Linked DNA regions of Cricetulus griseus. Each later gene encodes a partner of the first gene's protein in a complex. Links are inferred from orthologs where the notes say so. Each region holds a gene or a part of one and is shown in the gene's direction. Other genes may lie near its edges. The genes, in order: Ubl4a and Bag6.

Region 1 (4,568 bases):
TGGGTGCAAAGTGGAACTTGAAGTTTTGAAGGAGCTCCTACAGAGCCCCCAACCCATGCTGTTGGGCCTCTTGGGCCAGTTTCTGGTCATGCCCTTCTATGCTTTCCTGATGGCCAAAGTCTTCATGCTACCTAAGGCCTTAGCTCTTGGCCTCATCATTACCTGCTCATCACCTGGCGGTGGGGGGAGCTACCTCTTCAGTCTCCTCCTTGGAGGAGATGTCACCCTGGCCATCTCCATGACTTTCATCTCAACAGTAGCTGCCACAGGTTTCTTGCCACTTTCATCAGCCATCTACAGCCGCCTTCTCAGCATCCATGAAACACTCCACGTGCCCATCTCCAAGATACTGGGGACTCTGCTGTTCATCGCCATCCCCATAGCAGCAGGTGTGGTAATCAAGTCTAAGCTCCCTAAGTTCTCAGAGCTGCTGCTACAGGTCATCAAGCCCTTCAGTTTTGTACTTCTCCTGGGTGGCCTATTCCTGGCCTACCACATGGGGGTCTTCATCTTAGTGGGAGTCAGGTTACCCATCGTACTGGTGGGCTTCACAGTGCCCCTGGTTGGCCTTTTGGTGGGCTACAGCCTAGCCATGTGCCTGAAGCTGCCAGTGGCCCAGCGGCGGACAGTCAGCATTGAGGTAGGGGTACAAAACAGCTTGCTAGCTTTAGCTATGCTGCAGCTGTCTCTGCGTCGCCTTCAAGCAGACTATGCCTCTCAGGCCCCCTTCATTGTGGCACTGAGTGGTACCTCCGAGATGCTGGCTTTGGTTATTGGCCAGTTCATCTACAGCAACTTGTTTCCTGTTCCATGAGGACCCTGGATCAAGTTTTATAACCCCAGCCCCCATACTCCATCCACTGTCCCCACAGTTCTGTACCAAAGGCCTTTTGTTCTCATGCACTATGCACTCAGACAAATCCAGGCTTTTTTTTTCCAGCTTTCAGTGCCAAAGAGGCCATGCTGAGTTAGAAATATATTTCAATAAAAGACAAAAGCAAGCTTGGGTCCCTTCCAGTCTTTGTCCCTTGGAGTGTATGGATGGGGATAGGAAGAGTGTGTCTGGGTTGATATGGACCAGGATGGTGAACAGGCTTGGTGACCGTGCACAGAGCCCACTCTCTCCTTCCTCTGTGCTTTGCACATGGTAGACAAGTGTTGTACCTTTGAGCTATATCTCCAGATCTGCAAAGGCTTTTCTCTATCAGAACAGGGCAGGACTCTGTTCTATAATGAGTGAAGAGATAGAGGCCTAGGTCCACTACTTTGGAGCCTCGGCCAGGATATTTTTGCAACCAGACTAGAAAGGAAGAAGTAGAAAGCCATTGGGCTATGGCAGGTAGGACTGGACCATTTCTGTATCTGAGAGACACTACTACATGTTTGCCCTGATGTGGTCCACCAGCAGGGTAGGAATTAACAGGTCAGGCCTTGCATGAGGCTGACATTCTGGTCCTTCCTTTCAAGCCACAGCTCCCCGGTGAAGCAAGCCTGACCCTACAGATTCCTCGCTCCTATCCCAGTGGGCGGAATGGCCCCACTTCCCTGCACCAAAGCCGCTGGAGGCTTGTGGGCCCAGGGCGGTGGACGCTACCCCAGGCTCAGGCAGGCGCAAAGGCCTGGAGGCGGGACCGGGCGGGAGCCACGCGGCGGGCTCGCCCCTTTCACGGCTTCCGGCGGCGGCGGGCGGTTCCGGCGCGCGCCCGGGGCAGCGGCGCGCGGCAGGGGACCATTGGGGTTTACATTGGTCCTAGTGGACGCGGCTGTGGGCATCATGCAGCTGACCGTGAAGGCGCTCCAGGGCCGGGAGTGCAGCCTACAGGTAAGGTTACCCTGCAGGCTGCTACACTCACACACTCCTGCCGCTGGGGCCAATGGCGGGCGGGGGAGGCCAGGAGAGCTAACCTCAGGAGGGGGCACTAGGGCTGCATCGCCCAGGGAATTCGGACTAAGCCCTTGCCTCTCCACCTCGGCCGGATCAGGTGCCGGAGGACGAGCTAGTGTCTACACTGAAGCATCTGGTCTCGGATAAGCTGAACGTCCCTGTGCGCCAGCAACGTCTGCTGTTCAAGGGCAAGGCCCTAACAGGTAACCAGGGAAAGGAGCCATCCAGGGACCCCCCACAGGAAGTAGGAAGTTGGAAGTTGGGGGACGGGATGTACAGGCCAGTGTAATGGATTAGAGCAGTGGCTGCCACTAAACCTTGGAAAAGTAGCTGAGACGCCACCACCCCATAGCCAGATGCTGCAGTGTTTCACTCTAGCTGTCCATGGCAGGATTGCTCTCTGGCCACCCCCACAACAATGAGGAAGGAACCCCACCAATCTCTCTTTGGCAGATGAGAAACGACTGTCAGATTACAACATTGGGCCCAATTCTAAACTCAACCTAGTCGTTAAACCTTTGGAGAAGGTGCTGCTGGAAGAAGGGTCTGCCCACAGACTGGTCGACTCCCCACCCCCACCCCTCTGGCAGCTGATCTCCAAAGTCCTGGCCCGTCACTTCAGTGTAGCAGATACCAGCAGGGTCCTGGAACAACTACAGAGGGTGAGCAGAATAATTCTGGACCTCCAATCTTAATGTTTCTAGCCCCAGCCCCCACCTATTACAGCATACCCCTTCCTGCTTGCACCCCCTGAACCCACCTGGTCTTCTCTTCTCAGGATTATGACAGATCTCTGAGCCGCCTAACACTGGATGACATTGAACGTTTGGCCAGCCGCTTTCTACACCCTGAAGTAACTGAGTCTATGGAAAAAGGGTTCTCCAAATAGCATTTCTGGGAGTGGGGGGAGAAATCCCAGGTCAGGCCACAGCTGCATGTTGCATTAAATGTGTTCTCATGTCGCAGTTTGGCTCATAGTGATAATAATAGCTGGTATGTACCCAGTTCTTGCTAGGTGCTAAGCACTACTCAAAGTACTTGGCCTGAATTCTCTTCTGCCTTCCACAGGACAGTTGAGGCTGCACTGTAGAAACACCTAGCAATGGCTTGGGACAGCCAGAATCCAAGTCTAGCCAGCTGTAGAAGTGCCTCTGTAGGAGAAAGAGTGTGTTGTTTTGAGGGATGGGCCTTAACATTCCCATTTAGCCCACTCAACATACACACTCAAGTGACTCCCTCAGGAAGCCACTAGTCCCTGTCACCTGTCCTCTAGTATGTCTGGCATACCCTTGGCAAATCTCCATAGGAAGCCAAGTGGTAGCCATCCAGAGTCCCTCTGCTGCTGCAGCCAGTGTGCTCTTGATGAATGACAAAGTCAGGGGCTGGAGGATCAGAAAGATACCCTAGCTCCGTTGTATGGCTTAAGTCAAGTTTCTGTGCCACTTAGGTCCCCTACCATTGAGTCTGTTAGTGGTGACCACTCCTCTGACCTGAATAAGTTTCCTTCCCTCTTTCCCGGCTCAAGGTGGGAGTCTGCTATCACCAACTGCAGTGCCATCTTGTGTTCAGTAAGCAAACTGAAGCCAAAAGTGAAGTGGTAGCCAAGCATGGGCCACAGATGGAATATCCTGGGCCTTTGTGACATAGCTCTTCTTGGGGGGACCCTATCTGCTTGGCTCCTCCTGGAAGTCGGTCTCATCCATGAGGGACAGCAGGTGACTCCACAAAGCAGTGTCACAACTAGGATTCTTCCTGGGTCTCCTCACCCAGCGTTCTCCCACAGCATGAGACGGATGCTTCCTCTGCCACCTGTGTACAGGGACTTTCAGTTTGCACACCTTCATTGCTTAAGAAGAAACTCAGGGTGCTGAGGAGGAGATAGAAATGTAAGCTGAAGACAGTGGTTCTTCTTTTCACTGAACCTATGCCTGGGTGCTAAAGGTCATGTAAGTACTAGCTCCTTTGAGGAGGACCCCCTGGGAGCAGTTGAGGCTGGAAGATAGCCACCTGCAGGACATTACTCCTGCCCCTCCACTCTTGCCAAGGAAGCAACTCTGAATGTTGTTGGGACTACACTGGCCTTTCTTGCCCAACGGCCTCCTGCATGGGCTTTGGGCCTTGTGGGACAAATCTTGACTCCCCATAATGGAATGATAAACTAAAGTGAGGCCTGAGGGGATGAGCAGCTGGTAGACCCTGCTCCTCCCTGAGACCTGGGGTACCACATCAGGGACCTGCTTGTGAGCACATATGTGGACTGGCAGCTCAGATAATAAGCTTACCAATGTCCTTGTTCACTTTGAGTCAGGGAATGTATTTGGAAAATTAAATAACACTTAAGGTGCATGTGAGACTTTTTACCAAGACGAACTCTATTAATAAACTAGTCTGCTTTTGGTTTCAAATAATTGGTTTAACAACACAGGAAACTTACTGGCTTACAAAAGTGAAAAAGCCCAGGAGTACTGGCAGTTGATGAACAATTTCACCAAACATCCAGCTTTTTTCCTGCCTCCCTCTGAATTCTCCAGCATCTGCTTCATCCTCACCACTACTTCCAAGGATCAAAGGGTGGCTGCCTGCAGCTTCATCAAACCATTTGCTGCCAGCAAGGAGCACTTTCTCTCTGTAACATAGCTTCTGTCTCAGATGCCCCAGCAAATAAATGCTCTCTTATTGGTCA
Region 2 (4,494 bases), on another chromosome or scaffold:
GTGTTCTGGCTTAAGAAGTTAAGATCAGAGCCAGTTTGCTGCTCTTGCAGAGGGACCTGGGTTGGATTTCCAGAACCCACATGATGGTTCACAACCATCTGTAACTCCAGTTTAAGGGATCTGTTTCCCTCTTCTGGTCCCCATGGAAACCAGGCACACATGTTTCACAGACATATAGGCAGGAAGAATGCCTATACACATTAAATATAGTTATTAAAAATAGGTGGTGGTTGTTTTAAGTCAAGATCAGAATCTAGCTCTTGCTGGGCGGTAGTGGCGCATGCCTTTAATTCCAGCATGTGGGAGGCAGAGGCAGGTGGATTTCTGAGTTCGAGACGAGCCTGGTCTACAAGAGCTAGTTCCAGGACAGCCTCCAAAGCCATAGGGAAACCTTGCCTCAAAAACAAAAACCAGAATCTAGCTCTTTCCTCTTCTCCTGGGCCTGTTGTTTTGTGCCTTCTTGATGCAGTTTATGTTCTTGACCCTGTGATCTTTGTCTTCTGCTCTTCCTTCTCTGCTAGGCATCACAGACTGCCCCTCCACCCCCTCCACCTCCTCCACCCCCACCCCCTGCCCCAGAGCAGCAGGCCACACCCCCACCAGGGTCCCCTTCTGGTGGAACAGGGAGTCCTGGAGGCTTAGGTCCGGAGAGCCTGCCACCGGAGTTCTTCACCTCGGTGGTACAGGGAGTGCTGAGCTCTCTGCTGGGCTCCCTGGGGGCGCGGGCTGGCAGCAGTGAGAGCATTGCTGCCTTCATCCAACGCCTCAGTGGATCCAGCAACATCTTTGAGCCTGGGGCTGATGGGGCTCTTGGTAAGCAAAAAGGGGGTGCTATGGTCTTGGGAACTAGCGGGTGTGTGTGTGTGTGTGTGTGTGTGTGTGTGTGTGTGTGTGTGTGTGTGTGTGGTTGGCCTTTCTTTACTAAGAAGGATTAGGCTGACAGCTTGTGGGGCTCGGCAAGCAGGGGACACAACTGCTCACTTCTGCCCCTCTCCCTAGGATTCTTTGGAGCTCTGCTCTCTCTTCTGTGCCAGAATTTCTCCATGGTGGATGTGGTGATGCTTCTCCACGGGCACTTCCAGCCACTGCAGCGGCTCCAGCCACAGCTGCGATCTTTCTTCCACCAGCACTACCTGGGTGGTCAGGAGCCCACACCTGGCAACATCCGGGTAAATGAGAGCCCAGAGCCCAGAGCTTTCCTTCCTTCTGGCCTCCATCCCTTAATCCCGGCTGCTTTCTATCAGTCAGTGACAGTTCTACTTCGGCCCAGGCCTTGGGCTTGCATGGGACAGGTGGGACTAAACCTGAACTGTGATGTTCCCCTACAGATGGCAACCCATACATTGATCACTGGGCTGGAAGAATATGTACGGGAGAGTTTTGTGAGTATGCTTTATGTGTTTTCTTCCTGTCTAGGTTTGGGCGGGGAAGCTAGGGGTCCCTGTCACCTCCTCCTCCTAGACCCTCATGGTTCTGATTTGGAGATCTTTGTGTGTCTTGTCTCAGTCTTTGGTGCAGGTTCAGCCGGGTGTGGACATCATCCGGACAAATTTAGAATTCCTCCAAGAGCAGTTTAACAGCATTGCTGCGCATGTGCTACACTGCACAGGTCAGGCAGGGCTGCCAGGGAGAGGGAAGCACTGCTCTGTAGGACTGGCAGAGTCATGGGCCCTCTCGCATCCTCCTTCCAGACAGTGGATTTGGAGCCCGCTTGCTGGAGCTGTGTAACCAGGGCCTGTTTGAGTGCTTGGCCCTGAACCTACACTGCTTGGGGGGACAGCAGATGGAGCTTGCTGCTGTCATCAACGGCCGAATTGTAAGCACCGCCCGACTCTTAAGTCTCTAGCTCCTTTGTTATTATGTCTTGCAGTTTTCTATTTCTCCAAGTACTGCACCTATTGCCCGAGATGTAGATTGCACAAGTTGTAAGTCTGCTTTCTAACCCTCAGCGTCGCATGTCTCGTGGAGTGAACCCATCCTTGGTGAGCTGGCTGACGACTATGATGGGACTGAGGCTTCAGGTGGTCTTGGAACACATGCCTGTGGGCCCTGATGCCATCCTCAGATACGTTCGCAGGGTTGGTGATCCCCCCCAGGTAAGGGACCTAGTAGGCTGTGGGGTCAGGGGACATAAGGACACTTGAGAGATGGACTGTACTGATACCCCCCCCCCTCCTTTTATTTCTTTGTGAAATTCCACAGACACTTCCTGAAGAGCCAATGGAAGTTCAAGGAGCAGAAAGAACTTCCCCTGAACCTCAGGTATCAGGAGAGGTGGAGAGGCCAGATAATGTGTAGATGGCTGGGCTGTAAGAAAAGGCACTTGGGGGCAAAGAATTCTGAAGTCTGGACCTTCCTGCCATCTGCCTTCCAGCGGGAGAATGCTTCCCCAGCCCCTGGAACAACAGCAGAAGAAGCCATGTCCCGAGGTCCACCCCCTGCTCCCGAAGGTGGTTCCCGAGATGAACAGGATGGAGCTTCAGCCGATGCAGAACCTTGGGCAGCTGCGGTCCCCCCAGTAAGTGGCAGGAGGTGATCCAGTGGGTTTAAGAGCTGTGAGTTGTGAGAATTATTTCTAACCCTTTCCTCCCCAGGAATGGGTCCCTATTATCCAGCAGGACATTCAGAGCCAGCGAAAGGTGAAACCTCAGCCGCCCCTGAGCGACGCCTACCTCAGCGGTATGCCTGCCAAGAGACGCAAGGTTGGTCTGTCTCTTTCCTAAGGTGTCTCTGTCCAGAACCCTTGTTGAGCTAGAGGCTTTTGCTTGCTAGTTCAGTTTCTTCATCTAGTTAGGAAGCCTGTTTGGGGGTCAGGCTTGTTCATGATTTGTGCACATGACAACATGGGCCTTCATCTTACTGTTTCTGGCAGTTCTGGTACTCGCAGCTGTGTGATTTCCCAAGTGATTAGGGTCTTGACGAGTAGCTAGCTCTGAGTCTCAGGTGGTCTGACCTGCTGGTGCCATCTTTGTAATCAAACATTTTTTTTTTAGCCATAGTTAGGAAGGCATTTCTGCTGTGAAAAGCACATGCAGACTGTTTCCCCGCCCTGTGCTAGACTGGACACTGGTTAGCTGAGGGAAAGGGGGAACTGGACTGGACGCTGGTTAGCCAGGGGAAAGGGGAACTGGACTGGACTGGACACTGGTTAGCCAAGGGAAAGGGGGGACTGGACTGGACGCTGGTTAGCCAGGGGAAAGGGGAACTGGACTGGACTGGACACTGGTTAGCCAAGGGAAAGGGGGAACTGGGTTGGTGGCAGGGGGTCTGATATTGATCCCCTTTTCCCTCTCCACCTGTCCCCAGACAATGCAGGGTGAGGGCCCCCAGCTGCTACTCTCAGAGGCAGTGAGCCGGGCAGCTAAGGCAGCCGGAGCTCGGCCCCTGACAAGCCCCGAGAGCCTGAGCCGGGACCTGGAGGCACCAGAGGTTCAGGAGAGCTACAGGCAGCAGGTGCCCCCACTTTGCAGCAGAATAGGGAATGGTCTATTGGGAGGGGTTGGGCCAGGTTCCTGCTTCCCTGAATCTATCCAGAGATGAAGCCCCCGGTTGGTGGTCAGGGTTTTCCTTGTGGCATTTGGGAAGGCTCAGCAATCTCATTGGCCTAGCCAGCTTGGTTGGTGGGGAAGTATTTCCTGAGGGTTGGTCTTTGCACTTGCTGGGATCATAGGGCTAAACCAGGGCTCCTCCAACCTGCTTGTGTTTTCTCTTTGTAGCTCCGGTCTGATATCCAAAAGCGACTGCAGGAAGACCCCAACTACAGCCCCCAGCGCTTCCCCAATGCCCACCGGGCATTTGCTGATGACCCCTAGCTTTCTCACGGGGGGACCATTCCCCCTTCCTTCACAGTATTTAAGAAATAAAAGTCGGATTTTCCTGGCTTCTTTGTCTGGTAGTTAGTGTTGAGTACCTTCATTTTCTCCCAACATTTCATCCAATCCCTCCGAACCTAGTACACGTGTATAGCACACTCTGCTTATGGAGCTTATGCAGGCCTATGAGTGGTTGAACTTTTGTAGGATAGTACTTTAAGCTCAGGCCAGCTAGTAAGTTTTGCAACTTTTGCTTTGGTCTCTGGAATGTGAAGGCCTAATGACATCCCTGTGCTGAAGACCGGAAACAGCAGGCAGCTATGTGGTACTGAGGTGGTTTAAACTGAAAATGGCTCCCCACAGGGAGTGGTACTATGAGGAGGTGTGGTTTAGTTGCAGGAAGTGTATCACTAAGGGTGGGCTTTCAGGTTTCCGATGGTCAAAGGAGGCCCAGTGGCAGCTTTTCCAGGACTTCATCTGCCTGTGTCCCACCTGGATAGTGGACTAAAGCTCTGAACCTGGAAGCCCACCCCAATTAAATGATTTAACACGGTGATGGTTTCTTCACAGTAATAGAACCCTAATGCAGAGTTGGTAACCGGGACTGAGGCATTGCTGACCATGCTTTTGTTGGGCCATGTTTGAAGTGTGTAGCCGTTCATAGCAGTGTGGTGTCGAGGGT

Evidence for each region.
Region 2: the proteins of Ubl4a (region 1) and Bag6 are in contact, whole or in part, in a crystal structure (PDB 4X86), measured with the Homo sapiens proteins. The link is inferred for Cricetulus griseus from reciprocal best matches to the Homo sapiens genes UBL4A and BAG6. Residues at the interface, in NP_055050.1 of Homo sapiens: Val95, Leu98, Ile99, Val102, Leu103, Arg105, His106, Phe107, Ser108, Asp111, Arg114, Val115, Gln118, Leu119, Asp122, Tyr123, Glu124, Ser126, Leu127, Ser128, Leu130, Ile135, Leu138, Arg141, Phe142; in NP_001092004.1 of Homo sapiens: Gly1052, Pro1053, Leu1055, Leu1057, Ala1060, Val1061, Ala1064, Ala1065, Ala1067, Ala1068, Ala1070, Arg1071, Pro1072, Leu1073, Thr1074, Ser1078, Leu1079, Asp1082, Leu1083, Glu1087, Val1088, Ser1091, Tyr1092, Gln1095, Leu1096, Asp1099, Ile1100, Arg1103, Leu1104.

The regions. Positions count from the first base shown.
Region 1 is NC_048604.1:1,347,225-1,351,792, forward strand, and holds the start of Ubl4a (ubiquitin-like protein 4A), read left to right. Parts: upstream 1-1,660; 5' UTR 1,661-1,774; coding exon 1,775-1,822; intron 1,823-1,982; coding exon 1,983-2,088; intron 2,089-2,338; coding exon 2,339-2,547; intron 2,548-2,663; coding exon 2,664-2,738; coding exon of another isoform or gene 2,739-2,774; exon of another isoform or gene 2,775-3,410; coding exon 3,411-3,527; 3' UTR 3,528-4,568. Other genes in the region: Slc10a3 (P3 protein), read left to right, coding at 1-814. UniProt on the Homo sapiens protein: As part of a cytosolic protein quality control complex, the BAG6/BAT3 complex, maintains misfolded and hydrophobic patches-containing proteins in a soluble state and participates in their proper delivery to the endoplasmic reticulum or alternatively can promote their sorting to the proteasome where they undergo degradation.
Region 2 is NW_023276806.1:231,668,493-231,672,986, forward strand, and holds the end of Bag6 (large proline-rich protein BAG6), read left to right. Parts: intron 1-521; coding exon 522-813; intron 814-999; coding exon 1,000-1,169; intron 1,170-1,328; coding exon 1,329-1,382; intron 1,383-1,506; coding exon 1,507-1,609; intron 1,610-1,691; coding exon 1,692-1,816; intron 1,817-1,949; coding exon 1,950-2,096; intron 2,097-2,202; coding exon 2,203-2,262; intron 2,263-2,374; coding exon 2,375-2,518; intron 2,519-2,594; coding exon 2,595-2,702; intron 2,703-3,306; coding exon 3,307-3,453; intron 3,454-3,716; coding exon 3,717-3,812; 3' UTR 3,813-3,895; downstream 3,896-4,494. UniProt on the Homo sapiens protein: ATP-independent molecular chaperone preventing the aggregation of misfolded and hydrophobic patches-containing proteins.